Linked DNA regions of Tamandua tetradactyla. The protein of the gene in region 2 interacts with the protein of the main gene of each other region in a biochemical or structural test. Links are inferred from orthologs where the notes say so. Each region holds a gene or a part of one and is shown on either strand. Other genes may lie near its edges.

The links.
Region 1: of the proteins of CASP7 (region 2) and PANX1, one has a biochemical effect on the other in vitro, tested with the Homo sapiens proteins (2 studies listed by IntAct). The link is inferred for Tamandua tetradactyla from reciprocal best matches to the Homo sapiens genes CASP7 and PANX1.

Annotation. Positions count from the first base shown.
Region 1 is NC_135334.1:48,832,461-48,836,370, forward strand, and holds the start of PANX1 (pannexin-1), read right to left. Parts: upstream 2,768-3,910; 5' UTR 2,327-2,767; coding exon 2,146-2,326; intron 1-2,145. UniProt on the Homo sapiens protein: Ion channel involved in a variety of physiological functions such as blood pressure regulation, apoptotic cell clearance and oogenesis.
Region 2 is NC_135339.1:75,622,794-75,626,703, reverse strand, and holds the start of CASP7 (caspase-7), read right to left. Parts: upstream 2,378-3,910; 5' UTR 2,058-2,377; intron 1,754-2,057; exon of another isoform or gene 1,622-1,753; intron 910-1,621; 5' UTR 694-909; coding exon 682-693; intron 1-681. UniProt on the Homo sapiens protein: Thiol protease involved in different programmed cell death processes, such as apoptosis, pyroptosis or granzyme-mediated programmed cell death, by proteolytically cleaving target proteins.

The DNA.
Region 1 (3,910 bases), on a different chromosome or scaffold from region 2:
GGATTCCCTCTAATTCATAAGCCAGAGGTAGAGCTGGTCACAGAGGGTGATCAACTTCTCCAGGACAGGGACCACGTGTCATGCGTTCACAGCTGGTACTCTAGGAGCATCTGCTAAAGGAAGAGACTATCTTTAGGACCCATGCTACTTGGTGGTTTTCCTATCTACTGGATGCCTCCACCCCTGGTCATCGGGAAGGCAAAAGGAAACTCTGATGACTATGCTTGCCCAAACGCAAAGGAAACTGAAAACTTATGCTCCACAATGAATTTGGTAACTTCCTGCCGAACTGAACAATGTGGGGTGAAGATCACAAAATCAAACACACTGACACCCTTTTCTAACCAACTCTTCCCTCAATTTTACTATTTCTATCAACAATGCCATTCTCCACCCATCCAGCCCTGCAGGCTTTGCAGCAACTCTGACCAGTATATGCCCTGTGTTCCCTATTAAAAACTAGTTAATGTACTAGTTTTATATTAGAACTATAATATATAGTTATATTATAATATAATATAATATATTACCACTATTATAAAGAGTTAATAATAGAGTGGTATATGGGGGAAAAATACCTATTGTAAACTGTGAACTATAGTTAACAGTAATGGCTCAATGTTCTTTCATCAATAATAACAAATGCACCACACTGATATTAAGGCTCAATAATGGAGAGCATGGGATGATTTATTTTGGAGTAATGAAAATGTACTAAAACCGATCACGGCTATAAATGCACAACGATGTGGTGATATCACGAAGCACTGATTGTACACTTTGGATGGATTTGTATGGTGTGTGAATGTATCTCAATAAAACTGCTTTTAAGAAAAAGTGGAGGTACAAACAAACAAAACACACACATATACAACAAACTAATGACCCGAGGCCTGCTTATTGCTCTTTGATCTCTCACAAATCATCCATTCCCATCCTCTCCCTTCTACTCTTCATCCCCATCCATGCACAAGACTTCAACTGATGCCTCACCTTCTGCCTCCAGTTCCCTAGCTCCATTCTCCGCCCTCCTTCCACACAGCCTACACCACCACCAGGCTATTATTTACTAAGTTTTGGCCAGTCCATCCTTTGCTCAGATAACTTCCCACGTCTTCAACCATGACTGCTATCCTCTGTTCTAATCTGACCCAGGCCCATATTCACTCTCAGATCTGAAAAATCCAAACAAGTCCTCCTGCCTCCAGGAGGGCAGTCACTGTCTCTCCCCTTCCAGGAACACATACTTTTCCCTGCGTGTTCAAAATTTGCTATCCAAATCCTATCTGTGCTCCAAGGCTCCAGGCCAGCCCAACGTCCAATAAAGAGCTTTGCCCTCCGGGTAGGTGCACTGGCCTCTACCTCTTTTACTCCACTACACTCTTTCCGTGGCTTCATAAACACTCTCCTGTGCTGAAAGAACAGATGAGGAAGAAAACCAGAAATTTATCAGTTACTTGATCCTGCCCAACCCACGAGCCTTTCATATCTCCCAGAATTGTTATTAGGATCAAATAAGAACTTATATAAAGGTGACTTGTTCATCTCACGTTCATAAAAACACCGTCCAGTCGGCGGATGTTGGTATCCCTCCGAGGCCTTGTCAAGCGCAGGTGTTGCCTATCAGTCCCAACTCTGCATGGCTGAGTCCCAGCAAATAGCAATTACTCGTAAAACAGCGAGAGAACACTCTTTACGTGGAGCACTTTTCTGTGCACACTCCATTTACTCCCACGGGAACTTCTTTGGCCCCAAATTTTATGTGACTGCACAAACGCGTGTGTGTGAAAAGAGAGAAGGCGGGTGTCCTCTGCTAATCCGATGGCAGGTGGAACAGGAACACTACAGTTGGGACAAAGCGGGCGCAGGAAACAAGAGCTGAGTAGTGGGGATGGAACGCAGGAGGCTGCAACGGCCGGGCACAGGGTCCACAGCACAGAGTTACAAATGAGGCCACGGGTAAAGAGTGCTTCTCGGACCGTAAAACCGGGGCTACCTTCCTTCTCAACGCGCACGCCACCGCAGCGGCCAGCAAGCCGAGATTCTGGCCGGCGCTCAGTAAAATCCCATCTTGCCAGTCTAAGACAGCCCTGATAAGGCGTGCCGGGCCTCCTCCGCCCCGCCTGCCCTCGCCCATGGCCTTACCTATGGAGATCTCCTGAGCGAAGGCCAGCGAGATGAGCAGCAGCGGGAGTCCCACGGCGATGCACGTGACCATCTTGTCCACCGCCAGCTCCAGCCGCAGACCCTTGAACTTGGACTCCGCGGGCTCCTTCAGCAAGAAGTCTGAGAACACATACTCGGTAGCCAGGTGGGCGATGGCCATGGTTGCGGCGCGCCGGGTTCAGTTCGGCAGGCCCACGAGCGTAGGCCCGCGCACCGCCGGCGTCGGGAGAGCGGAGCGGCGCCTTCACCGGGTCACCGGCGGGGCCCGCGGCTTTCGCTTTTCCTTTGCCGACTCTGCAGCTGCCCCATCCTGCCTGCCTTTGTGTCTCGGCGCGCCAGAACTCCCAGCTACCCGCGCTGGGGATGCAGCTGCCCCTGCTCGACTCGCTGGGTGCCGGGGCAGGCGCAACGCGCGCACCTTCCGGGCTCCGCGCCTCTCCCGAGTCCGCAGGCTCGAGAATCAACTGGGGCACAAAGCCCTGGCCACTCCGCTCCTCCCCAGCGGCCGGTGCAGCGTCCCGGCCGGCCGGTTCGCTCTCTCTGCCGCTTCGCCCCACTCTTCCGGAACCATCCGGAGAAACCGAGTACCCAGGGGCGTGGAGTTTCCGGAAACCGCGGTGACGCGGGTAGGGGTGGGCGCGCCAGCATCCAGCGTACGGATCCTCCCACTAAGGGGGGGATCTTCCCATTAAGCGGCCTTTCTGAAAATTTCTCCTGCCCTTCCCATCTTCAATCTTCCTACTTCCTGGCACCGGGATTATTGAAATCATTTCTGACAGCGACCTCTTATTTATTTAGACAGGATGGTCTCTTTACACCCTAGCCCTACCATTTCTATACCGTGAAATCACGTCAAATTGAGTTGCAAAAGCCTCAAAGAAGAAAGGATGCCTTAAAAGACGAATCAAACAGGGTAGAACGAGGGAGTGAGAAAAAGGGAGCGCTGGGCCCTCTGATGAGCTCTGCGCTTGAGAGGAAGGTGAGGAAGGTGCAAGGACACTGGGGAACGCTGCAATGACTAGGTATCAGGGCTCAACTAGCGCTGCTCTTGCCGGGTGCTTCCTGTGCCTCCCGGGTCAGAGCCTAGGCCCGGGAGCCAGCGGAGGGGTGTCTGCGTAGAAGGGGGTGAACCACTTATAGGAAATGGATGATGAGTAAATGCTGTAACAGCATTTGAAGCAGACAGGATCTTTCAACATGAGGGCTACTTAAGGCCAGCTGGGCTGCCTTCCCTTCTCTTTGTACTTGGGCTTTTCCATGTATGCAAGCATCCTCTGTATACTCTGGACTCCCACAGGTACATCTCCACCCCTGCTTCTCCTCCCATTACACACCCAGTGGCCTAAACTGCCCTCCACTTGAGTGAATTGTAGGACTTGAAAGTCCTATTGACCAGGACTGTAATTCTTATCTTCCTCTCGAACTGCAACTCTAGTCTTCTCCATCTTACTAAATGTACTATCATCCACCCACCCACCCCAGCCAGAAACGTGGAACCTGTCTTTAATGCTTCCCTTTCTCCCATTGCCATAACCAATTTACAAATTTTCTTCTCCTAAATATCACAAATCTGACAGCTCTCCATCTATACTCCCAACACCCCAGTTCAAGCTCCCATCCTCTCCTAATCACATAAACAAATGTTTCTTTCCCCAAAGCCTCTGGTGTTATTTTGCAAGGCTACTACAACAAACACCACACAATGACCTTAAACAACAAGATTTTATTGATTCACAGTTTCGAG
Region 2 (3,910 bases):
AATGACCATGCTATACATAAAACTCTAACAGTGGCAGGCACATAGTATGCACTCAGTTATTGCTGCTATTTTTAACACCACTATTTATCCATTAGGTTTGTAGCTCTTTGCAGAATGAATGTTTATCTTAACCATCTTTCTTATCCCCAGTCATGGAAAAGTGCCCGATCCAGGGCAGGCACTCAATACATACTACCTCATAAATCTTATACCTGGAATGTATTTGTAAATCCTTCAATGTCTTGAATAAACTGCTGACTCAGAGCAGACAAAAGAACTAAAAGAAACCCAGGAGGGTGGTTGAGACCCCAGGAGTGGTGAGTGGGATATGCTTCATAACTGCCCACATGTTGGGGCAGCCAGTATTTATTGTGGGTAGGAAATCATTTCCCAGTCACTGTCTGGAGTTGGAAGGCAGGGCATGCTCCAGGCCCAGTGTCTGAAATGGTCTATTAAAGCATGGGCATAGCTTATATACATCCTTCCTAGCCATTTGGACTTGGCTACAGAGAAGCGAAGTTTATACATATATATATAAAATAGAGACAGGGGATGGGCTCATTGCAGCTGCTTCTCCTGAAAGGTCATATAATATGATTTGCATCCCATTTCCTGATCCAATGAAGGCAATCTTCCCAAAAGGGCTCAAGAATAGAGGCCCTGAAGATCTCCTCCTCTCACCTCTAGCACCATGGGAGGGCTGCTGGGCAGGCAAATGCTCCACTGTCTCCTTGATCCTCATCACAACTAGAAGACTGTAGCCTTTACCCCTCGGTTTCTTCAGAGAGGTTCAGAGAGGTTAAGCGACTGGCTCAAAGCCACACAGTTAACCGGTGGCCAAAGATGGACTATGAATCTAGGAGCAGCAGCACGGAGAAGGAAGGTCAGGCCTGAGCTGTCTAGAAGGTCCTGAAGGGGGAAACCACCTGTTAGTAAATAAAGGTTAAAGGCCACTGTGGGCTGCTCTTAAATCCAAGGAAAAGGAATGGGAATGACTAATCTGGAACTACCCAGAGGCAATTTTCCTGCCCAATAAAACCGCACAGCTGAATACAACCGTAAGGGTTGCAAGGTCCCCTGCAGGCTGAGTGTCCATACACCTCCAAGGTCCCCTGCAGCCTGAGTGTCCATATCGCCTGCCTTTTCTCACCTCCCCAAGACACCTCCATGGGCCCTGCAGAAAGGTTACCCAACAATGGCAGTAGTTGGAGTGCACTTAGCAATGCACCAAATCACATCCTTCCGCATCAGCCCGGGATCACCAGTCTTACGAAGCACAGGGAGGGTCAGGGGACTGGAACCTAGGCTTTTCTGACCCCGGAGCCCTCGCTGTTAACCGCCCTGACAGATAACCAGCTCCTCCTCTTCCAGATCCCGAGCGTACGGGGTGTCCCAAGTCCCCGGCCAGGAGGAAAAGGAGGATCCGCTAACAAAGTACGCGACGCCGCAGCGCGGAAGATTCCTTCCCCGAAGCTTCAGCGCCTACCGTCGGGGCCGCCTTCCCCCCACCCGGCGCACTGAGCGGCGGGGGAAGTGCAAGAAACCCCGCGGGAAAGCCAGGGAGGAAGCGCGCCGCGGAGAGGCGCGGGCCGAGGCGGGAGGAGGCGGGAGGCGCAGTTACCTTTCCCACGACGGTCCCGACGGCCGGAGCTCGCAGCCTCCTCGTCCCTCTGGAGCGAGGGTCTGGGGCCGCTCTACCGAAAATGAAAGTAAAATCCCCAGCGCCGCAGAAGGAGGGGCCGCCCCGGGCAGGACGAGAAACCGGGCGGGGCTGCGGGCGCCGCCTGCGGTTCGGGAGAGTGCGCCCCGCAAAGCTCGGTCGCGCGCGAAGTGGCCCGGGCCACGCGAAGGGGCAGCAGGCCCTGCAGACTCGGCCGCGCGCCTCCCCATGCCACAGCGCCACGTCCCACGGCTGCCCCCTTGTCTGAGACCTCCACCCGGGGCCTCTGCACAGCGCGGGGCCCTAGCTCTCGCAGTCATTAGCTCTTGTCCAACCAGACCCTTGACCCCAGCCCGTGCGGCTCCGGTCCCGGTAGGGTGAGGCTCCGCGTGCATACCTGCCTGAGTTACTTTCTCCCTAGGCCGAGACCCCTCCGGCCCGCCGGGGGTGTGCTGTGGTGTCCGGCTTCCGGGACTTTGTTTCCACTCGCCGGTGTGCCCTCCTTCGCGCGTGGGCGCAAGGATGCTAACTCAGCTTTCTCTTAAGCAAGTCCCAACCCTCGCTTTACAGCGCGCTCGGCGCGCGGTGCAGCCAGGCTCATTCACGAAGTATTTATGGAGCGCCCTCATGTGTCAGGCACTGGGTATGTGGCCCTGAGGAAGTCAAGAATGAGAGGGACAGGGGCTTCCACTGAAACACCTCACCCCTGCCCCGACACCCCGCTACCCCTCCTCAGCGCACGCGCGCACGCGCAAACACACACGCGTCCTTCTTCACCCCTGGGTTTTCGTTGGAGCCCTCTAATGTCTTTCCCAAATCCCTCAGAGGAACAATTAATTACCTCAGGCACTGAAGTGTAACTATCTGGGAAGAAATTGTAGTTTTATTCGTACCGGAGAGATTGGCTTTTAAAGAACCATCAAAGCCCTGAACCAAAGGAGCTCAGCCTTCATGGTGGACTTCAGGCAAAAACCAGGTCTTGTCTCTGCCTGCTTTCTCCTAGGACTGAGACTTCACTGTTGTCTCTAAAATCTCACCAAGGGCACTTTCTTGGTTTGAAGAAAGACTGGCCTAGGTAAGTGCAAGGGAGTAATTAGTTATAATTAACTTCTGTGAAAATTCTGAATTCCTGAATATATTTACATGCAGCTATGCCGTTTCTAATGATTGCTGCACTGCTTTTTATTTAATACCCATTTCCTGAAATTTTGGAACCATTTTAGGCACTAAGATAATGAGCTTTTCAAAGGAATTCAGTTGTGAATCATTTGAGAAATGAAAAATGCTATTAATAAAGCAAATAAATTACTTTCAGCATGCGAATGTTAAAATATGTTAACACAGGAATTCATTGCTGGCCCAATTGGAAAGGTGGATTGAAGGAAAACTTTCTTTTCTCAGGTTTTTATTGTAGACTGGGGTGAGGAACGCCAAAGTTATTGGTCTGAGTCTGGATTATAGCCGTAGCAAATAAAATTACGGAAACGTGGAAGGGAAGAAATTATTTGAAACTTTTCCCTCAATAATAATTGAACTGATAGTTTTGATCCGTATGATATTCTCTTCTAAATGCATCTTCCGTGTCTCTCCATTCTTAGGCCAATTAATTATCTTCTCCTTTTTATATTTACATGATTATAACATGAGCCTTTTCTCTTCCCTCACTATTCTGATGGTTTCCTGAGACTTGGCCTCACAAGGGCCCCTCCACTTTTTGCTCACCAGGATATTGCCCTTAATTCTGGTGAGTCCCCCACTCCTGCCCTACTGGGCACAGCACCCCCAAGTGGTGCTACCAGGGATTGCTACTCACAGTTTCCACAGGACAGTTCAAGCCCAGCTGTGACTTTATACGTGACTCCACCAAGATCCCCAGAAATATCACTCTTAAATCCAAACTCTGGCCCTTGGGGGTCACCAGAAAGCCTCTATGAGCCCAGATGGGAATGAAAGTCCCACCAAGGAGGTATCTTCCCCACTTAGGGTCCAGCAGAATCCTTTTCTTCCCTGAAAGGAGGCATTCCTGTTATATCTGTCATTAATCTGTCATTAATTATTTGGAGCCTCTTGGCTCCAAATGCATCCTTTTTTCCTGGCTGTGAAAATGTAACTGGGCCCTTTAAGGATTTTTCCTTTCAGCCAAAGCCTGTTTCCAGTAGAGGGCGCTGGAGAGACATTGCGGGAGGAAGAGGTTTTCCTTCCTGGTCTCCTCCTGCAGCACGGTGCTCGTGCATCAGGAGTAGCTGCCCC